Linked DNA regions of Rattus norvegicus. The protein of the gene in region 1 interacts with the protein of each later gene in a pairwise test. Links are inferred from orthologs where the notes say so. Each region holds a gene or a part of one and is shown in the gene's direction. Other genes may lie near its edges.

Region 1 (4,628 bases):
AGGTGTGTATGTATGTAAGAGTGGATGGCATGTGTACCAGGGTGCCCAGTCATTCCTTGGACCTGGAGATGCAAGTGGTTGTTAGCCACCTGACTCGCGTGCTGGGAACTGGATTCAGATCCTCCGGAAGAGCAGCGAATGCTCTTAACTGCCGAGCCATATCTCCAATCCCAATTAATGGACTCTTGGGTTACATGCAGTTTTGGTGAATTATGAATAACAGGAGCATATGGACAATGTTTTCATTTCTCTGCCTAGAGTAGGCATGTAGTAGAGTCCCTTTTCTTGTGTTGATGTTGAAACCTGTACCTTGGATTTCACACGCGTATGTGTCCATGCGTGTATCTGTGCGTGCGTGCATGCGTGTATATGTTGTTTTGAGATAGGGTCTTATCACATAGCTCAGGCTGAACTTGAACTTATTTTCCTCTTACCTCAGTCCCCTAAGTCTGGATCACGGGTGTGAGCCACTCGACCTTGCTCTAAAGCTGTTTTTCCCAATACATGCTAGACAGGCACTCTATACCAATTCACGCTTTGTCCCTATTCTGTTTGTTTGTTTGTTTGTTTGTTTGTTTGTTTGTTTGTTTGTGTTTATTTCCTGAGACCGGGTCTTTATGTCGCCCTGGCTGTCCTGGAACTCACTATGTAGATCAGACTGGCCTAGAACTCAGAGATCTTCCTGCCTCTGCCTCCTCCTCTTCCTCCTCTGTCAAAGAAAGTCAGCCTAGATTTCATTTTCTAAGCCATACAGTGGCCGGGTATGGTGGCTCAGACCTGTAATTCCAGCAAGTTTCTGCGAAAAGCAGAAAAATTAAGAATTACAGAGAATCAGAAGCCAACCTGTATCAAATAGCAAGCCTACCATTGCTTGAGTGTACTACATTTTTCTTAAAGACTCCTCTGCTAATAAACAAAGGTTGTGTTTTAGTATGAGTAAGTATGACTTTTGTTAAGAACAAAATCACCACCATCTGCATTTTACTGACAGACATACTAAAGTCCAGACAAGGGGAAAACATCACCAGAGGTCACACACTGAAAACTGGAGCTTCCAGGTCCCCTTTCCTGTCTGTATCCTTCAGTTTATCGGTTCAAATGTTAGTGTGTCCCAGCCGGCCCAGCTGTCTGCAGCAAGCCTCAGGCAAGCCAGCTGTCTCTCACCCTCAGCCTGCAGGATTCTTGCAGGCAACCTAGAGACATCTTTCATCGCTGAAGCATCGCGTTTTCAGACCTCCAGCCAGCAGGGGGCAGTGTAGCTACTGTCGCCGGTAGCATCGACTTGCTCTCTTTGTGGTGTTCATTTTTTCTTGAGTCCCCCAAGCCACTTCCGGGACACGCGGAACTTTGGTGCAGCCGGATACTGCGCTCAGAGACACGGGCGTGCAAGGCGGCAGGCAGTGTTTCCGGCAGTGTTAGCGGTCTGAATTGAAGTACCGCGGCCAAGAGAAAATGGAGACAATTTTAGAGCAGCAACGGCGCTATCATGAGGAGAAAGAACGGCTTATGGATGTTATGGCCAAAGAAATGCTCACTAAGAAGTCCACGGTGAGTGAACAGTGGTCGGGGTCGCATCAGTAGGAGGGCCTCGGCCCTCAGCGGAGCTCTCGGCGTTTTATTTGGTCTCAGACCCTCCCTGCGCCCCATCTTCATCTTCCTCCTAAGCTGTCTGGGCGCTCTGGCCTCCTTAACGTCTTCCGAGGGCCCAGCAGCCCTTCTGCTTCAGCCCCTGAGACCTAAACCAATAAGCTCATCCTTCGGGTGGCCTTTCCAACTCCTGAACTCAGAGTAACAACGTATGTGTTACCGTTTGCCTTTCTGCAGCTCCGGGACCAGATCAATTCCGATCACCGCACTAGGGCCATGCAAGATGTGAGTGCCCCGCTGTCTGCTTCCCTTTGGGTCTGGCTGGGCGGGAAAAGTGCTGGCAGGGAAGGTTTGGAGGCTCAGCGTGATTCCTGCCCCTGGGTTCTTAGTCAGATATCCTCTCTCTGCCTCTCAAAAGTGTGGGCGACTACTCTGGGTTCGGGCTGTGTTGTAAAAGTGGTGGAACTTTCAAGACTTTGTATCCCGTGAGGTTTCCTTGGGTCTTGCCAAGACTCCCTTTGTTGTTTACCTAGCCCCATTGTACAAATTTGCTCCATTCTGATGGCTTTGTGTTTGCGTTTCAGAGATACATGGAGGTCAGTGGGAACCTGAGGGATTTGTATGATGATAAGGATGGGTAAGTGACAGTCACATCCCTTCTAACAGTGCTTCAGGGGAGCCATGGTGAAATGATGGCCTTTGTGCTTTATGCACTTTGAATTTGCTGATATCTTGCAGATTACGAAAGGAGGAGCTCAATGCTATTTCAGGACCCAATGAGTTTGCTGAATTCTATAACAGACTGAAGCAGATAAAGGAATTTCATCGGAAGCACCCAAATGAGGTGAGGCTCCCAAAGTAGTTTCCCAAGACCTATCCTTAAAAAAAGGAAAGATGCGAGGAAAATGGTGGCATGCCATATAGATGTCTGTCCAAGAAAGAACGTGCCACTTCACTGCAGTGAGCACAGTTAGGCGACATCCTTCCTGGTGTTCCTCTGCAGTAAGAGAACACAGGAAGCACTAGAGCCTATTTCTTTCTGTCCAGTGAGAGATCGGGTGACCTTTGCACCAGAGTTCTTTATTGGTTTAGTTCCAATTTTGTCTCCCTCATAGTAGCTTTCCCCCTACCCAAACTTACTTTTTCCTTTTTATCTCTCTTAAGAATTTCTCCCACCCAATACAATGTGCTCCTAGCTCTGGCTTGAAATCTACCAACACAATTGTACTGTGCTCATTCCCAGAGTTCAGTGCACCTTCAGAACTCGTGTAAAATATCTCTTGTGGACTACCTCCTCCAAGGCAGTCCTTCCTTAGGATGCTGTATTTGTGGCAAGGAATCAGACGTCTGCCCAGTTATAAAGCAAGGGAAGCTGAGAACACTAAGTAGTGAGCTCCTCTGTACACTTAAGGTCAAAGCGAGCATTAGAAGCCCAGCCTTAAAGACTTGCAAGTATAATATGCATATGTATATACTGTAAATATGTGTGCTTATGATGAGATATAGTTCAGGCTTTTAAAGAAAAAATTCCTGACATTTGAGACAATATGTATATAAAAAAAAACCTGTCAAACATTTTATTTGTATTTTATGTTTGGTAGATTTAAAGAAATAGAACAAATTTGTTGAACGGTTTTTTTTTTAATACAGTATCTAGATGTACATGGACAACCAAATAGGAAACTCCACAAATTGATGTTTTAAGAGTGTTTTATAAACTGATGGTAAAGACTGTATGTTTGGATTTAAAAGAAGCCCAGTAGATGAATAGTTTCACACTAAATCTTGTAGATTAACCAATCAGTGAAAAAAAGCAGTCCAGCCCTGTACTACAAGCCTGAGACATTGCCAGACCCACCTGAGCTTTTCTCTCCCACCAGATCTGTGTGCCAATGTCGGTGGAATTCGAGGAGCTCCTGAAAGCTCGAGAGAATCCAAGTGAAGAGGCACAAAGTAAGTAATGGCTTGATGTTTCTTTCTAGGGAATCCAAATCCGTTCTGAGCTATATAGCTACGACCTATGTTTTTTTTCTTAACCTCTTTTTAAATTTTGTCTGTATGGCTGTTTTGCCTGCATGTATGTCTATATACCACGCGTGTGTGTGATGGCCTAAAGAAGCCAGGGGAAGGATCTACTCCTACTATAGTTACAAATGGCTAGCTATCGTGTAGGGATTAGGATTCAAACTCAGGACCTCTGCAAGAGCAGCCAGTGTTCCTAACTGCTGAACCCAAGAGCCTGTCTCTAAAAACATAAATAAAGGCTGATTGTGATGAGTATAAATTTAATCTCAGCCCTCAGGAGTCAGACAGTTCTCTGGATTAAATAAAGGCCAGACTTTCTTTTTTAATTGTATGGTGAGTTAATATCTTTTTTGTTGATATTTATTTATTCATTTATTTATATCTGCATTGGTGTTTTGCCTACATGTATGTATGTTTAAGGGCATCAGATCTCAGAGTTACAGACAGTTGTGAACTGCCATGTGGATGCTAAGAATTCATCTCAGGTCCTAATGAAGAGCAGTCATTGCTCCTAACCGCTGAGCTATGTCTCTAGCCCCATTATTTTGTTTATCTTGAGACAAAGTTTCTCTCTAGCCCTGGAACTCACTCTACAAACCAGGCTGGCTTCCAATTCAGAAATGGTCTGCTTATACCTTCCGAGTGCTAGATAAAGGCATTAAAGGTTTGCACCACCTCTGCCTAGTTTCCTTTCTCTCTCCTCTCCTCTCTTCCCCTCTCCTCCACCCTCTCTTCCTTTCTTTTTTAAAGATGAGAATCTCAGAGCTAGAAAGATGGCTCAGCGGTTAAGAGCACTAATTGCTCTTCCAGAGGTCCTGAGTTCAATTCCCAGCAATCACATGGTGGCTCACAACCATCTGTAATGAACTCCAATGCCTTTCTGGTATGTTTGAAGACAGCTACAGTTTACTCATAAAAATAAAAATAAATAAATCTTGAAAAAAAGAAAAAGATGGGATCTCTACTTGAAGTCCTGGCTATCCTGAAACTCTGTGTGGACCAGGCCGGCCTCAGAC
Region 2 (4,005 bases), on another chromosome or scaffold:
CTAAAAGTAAACTGGAACTTACAGTCTTGACATTGTAAGATTTATTTAAACTGTTCTTGAACATACTTTGAATATATTTGTATTCTCACACATCTCTTCAGGTGAGGATTCTGTACTGCTAGGCCAGATACATGTCCTGATCATAACAATTAAAAATAAAAAATATTGAGAAAAACCATGTAAATAATATTTGAAATTTATAGTAAATCATAAGCCCATTATTTTGTGCAACAATCCAAAATAAGTAAAAGTAATACTTATGACTCAAAGACAGAAAGTGGGAACTCCTAAGATACGAACAGAGTTGGGAAGCCAACTTTGAGAGCATTTGTTGAACAATCACATTTAATGTTTATGAAATCAAGTGACTGTTTTTTTGAGTCAGAGCTTTACTACATAACTCTGGCTGTCCAGGAATTCAATATGTAGACCAGGCTGGCTTTGAACTCACAGAGATTGTCCTGGCTTTGCCTCCCAAGTGCTAAGATTAAATGCCTGGCTGAATAGAATAGTAATTTGTTGAAGTAATGACAGGTAATTAAACTATTTGTCAGCATTGATGTAGAAGCTAGGAAGAAGAGATCAGAATTCAGAAGTCTTGTGGCCTTTTAAATATACTTTTTATAATTTCTAGGATAATTGCTAAAGACTAAAGAGTCAGTTACAATAAATATAATTGAAGTAAAAGATAAAGACTGCCAGTACAGAAAAATCCGACCTTCTGGCTTATAGCAAATACAGCTAGAAGATGTCTATACATATGGTTAACTATAAAAGGACATGAGAACAATTTGTCAACAATACTAATTAAAAGTAACTAGGCTAAAAAATATATTGTTGCCAGAGATTGAATGCATTTCTTGGAAAAAGATTCAGTTCTCCATCTTGAAATGACATCTTTAAACTAATTTGAGGCTAATTACTTAGCTTTGGGTAGATTTAAAAAATGACAGTCAAAGCTCATTATAGAATATTCAAATATAATGTATTTTATTTAGTAGAAAAAAGTCATGAGTATTATTGCTCACCCATTAGAACCTGTGGAGAGGACAGAGATTTTCTGCCCCATTTGCTGCTGTTGTCCCTAGATACAAGGACTGTCAAGTCTTAAGATGTAGCTAGTATGAACAATAAAATGAGTTTTAATTAGATGAGCTAATCATGATGACTCTGCCTTTAGTCCCAGTATTTGGAAGGCAGAACAGATGAATCTCTGAGTTCAAGGCCTGTCTTTTTTTTTTTAAGATTTATTTATTATATGTAAGTACACTGTAACTGTCTTCAGACACACCAGAAGAGGGCATCAGATCTCATTACAGATGGTTGTGAGCAACCATGTGGTTGGTGGGATTTGAACTCAGGATCTCTACTGGAAGAGCTGTCTAGCCCCCAAAGCCTGTCTGTTCTATATTGTGTGTTCCAGCATAGCCAGAGATGTATAGCAAGACTTTGCCTCAAAAAAGAGAAGGGAAAAATCTTCCCAAAAATAGGAATAGGGTAGTGAGCTGAAGAAAAGCATATGCTCAATGTTATTAATACCATATCCATTTTCTAGTAGCATATATCTATGTATATTGATAAAATATAGATTAAAAGAGAAAGAACTAAGGAAAGGGGCTGGAAAGATGGCTCAGTGGTTTAGGCCCTTCTTGCTCTTGCAGGGGACCCAGGTTGATTCCCAGCTGCGATGTGGTGACTTAAAAACCATCTGTAACTCCAGCTTTGGGATCTGATGCCCTCTTCTGGTCTGCATTGGTACTAGGCACACTATGTTAAAATGTTGAACGTGCTTTGTGTATGGGTCAAAACATTTTATCCTAAAAATGTTATTTCTCAAATTTATCTGTGGAATTTGACACATTTCCAAACGTCTCTGGAGATATTTTTGTGAAACTCATGTTTGTAGGATGTCTGTGGGTCAAAAGTCAAGGTACTACTATAAAATAAAGAGATCATCAGTAACTACTGTACAGCTAAGATTATATTGGTAAAGTGACAGAACAATTAACAAAAAGAAAAAAATGATGGAAACAGGCTGACAGCAAAATTTGGCTTATGGTAGAGAATGATATTACGGATTAGTGGGTAACTGTTGACTACTTTTTTTTTATTTCTTTTTTTTTTTTAATTTCTTTTTTTTTTTTTTTTAATTTCTTTTCTTTTTTTGGAGCTGGGGACCGAAACCAGGGCCTTGCACTTGCTAGGCAAGCACTCTACCACTGAGCTAAATCCCCAACCCCAACTACTTATTTTTATTTATTATTATTGCACTTTCTGAGACAAGGTCTTACTCTATGTAGCTCTGGCTGGCCTGGGACGCACAATATAGACCAGGATGGGCATAAACTCAGAGATCCACCTGTGTTGTGATTAAAGGAATGTGCCAACATGCCTGACCCTGCTTTATTTATTTTGTGGTAATATATGTATGTAGGTGTGAGCCTGCCATCATACTCGTGTGGTCAGATGGCAGGTGGTAGGAGCCAGTTCTCTGCTTCCACCATGTGGGCTTCAGGGATCTTAGGTCCTCAGGTTTGGCCATTAGCTGATGAGCAATCTCACCAACTTAAAATGACTTAAAGCTGTTTTTTACATTTCTTTACTTACTTTGTGTGTATATGTGCATGGATATGTATGTACACATACATTTGGAGGTCAACAAATTGAGGAAAAAGCTTACTTAACTCTGTATGGTGGTATTTTGTCTATTTTTCTAATACTTTCAAAATTACTATAAAATATACATGTCTTCCTTCCCAGAAGTCCCCATCCCCCTTTTTCTTTTGAGACAGGGTTTCTTGTAGCCCACGCTTGGCCTTGAACTTTTGATCCAGCTGCCTCCATTTTGAGTGCTGGGATTATAAGCATGCACCATGGTTCATGGGGTGCTTTAGATAGAAGTCAGGGCTTTGTCCGTGCTAGGTGAGTATGATACCAACAGAGTTGCATACCCAGCCACACATGACATTTTCCGTCTTAGTTAGGGTTTCTATTGCTGTCCATGACCAAACGCAAGTTGGAGAGAAAAGGGTTTATTTGGCTTACACTTCCATGTCACTGTTCATCATTGAATGAAGTCAGGGTAGAATCAAACAGGGGAGAAACCTGGAGACAGGAGCTGGTAAAGAGGCTGTGGAGGGGTGGCTTGTTCCCGTCGTATACTGGCTTGCTCAGCCTGATTTTTTTTTTTTTTTTTTTTTTTTTTTAAGAACCCAGAACCACTAGCCTAGGAATGGCATCACCCACAATGAGCTAAGCCCTCCCCCATCAATCACTATTAAGGAAATGTCCTACAGGCTTGCCTATAACCCAGTCTTATGGAGGCATTTTCTTAATTGAGGCTCCCTCCTTTCCAGTAGCTCTAGCTTGTTTCAAGTTGGCATAAAACTAACCAGCACACTGTCAGAATAAGTACATTTGGGTATGTTGTATGTTTTTGTTTGTTTTAAGAAAGCTAGGTAATTCTGAGTCTTTGACTTGGACTTGTTTTCTTTATTTGATATTTGGAAATGACCATGTCTCACTGGCCTTGTATCCTCAATCCTACAGCACAGGAGGAAAAGGCGCTCCACACCGTTAGCTCCAGCCACACCACCTTCACAGACAACAGAGAAAAGCCAGTACTTCCAGACCACAGAAATCTCACTTTGGACAGTGGTGGCTGCTATTCAAGCTGTGGAGAAGAAGATGGAATCCCAGGCTGCCCGACTGCAGAGCCTGGAGGGACGCGCAGGGTCAGCGGAGAAGAAGCTGGCTGACTTCGAGAAGACAGCTGTGGAGTTCAGCAACCAGCTGGAGGGCAAGTGGGCCGTGCTGGGGACCCTACTGCAGGAGTACGGCCTGCTGCAGCGACGGCTGGAGAATGTGGAGAACCTGCTTCGAAACAAGAACTTCTGGGTCCTTCGACTGCCCCCAGGCAGCAAGGGGGAGACCCCAAAGGTAGAACCTCTACATTTAAAAGTTAGGCAAGAAGGGGAACCCAGCCTTGACTAATCAAGATGTTGG

The links.
Region 2: the proteins of Sf3a3 (region 1) and Zfp212 interact in binary tests that used the Homo sapiens proteins (3 or more experiments, as listed by UniProt). The two-hybrid records come from large-scale screens. The link is inferred for Rattus norvegicus from reciprocal best matches to the Homo sapiens genes SF3A3 and ZNF212.

Annotation. Positions count from the first base shown.
Region 1 is NC_086023.1:142,251,018-142,255,645, forward strand, and holds the start of Sf3a3 (splicing factor 3A subunit 3), read left to right. Parts: upstream 1-1,389; 5' UTR 1,390-1,452; coding exon 1,453-1,548; intron 1,549-1,824; coding exon 1,825-1,872; intron 1,873-2,171; coding exon 2,172-2,224; intron 2,225-2,325; coding exon 2,326-2,431; intron 2,432-3,467; coding exon 3,468-3,540; intron 3,541-4,628. UniProt on the Homo sapiens protein: Component of the 17S U2 SnRNP complex of the spliceosome, a large ribonucleoprotein complex that removes introns from transcribed pre-mRNAs.
Region 2 is NC_086022.1:78,257,321-78,261,325, forward strand, and holds part of Zfp212 (zinc finger protein 212), read left to right. Parts: intron 1-3,549; coding exon 3,550-3,939; intron 3,940-4,005.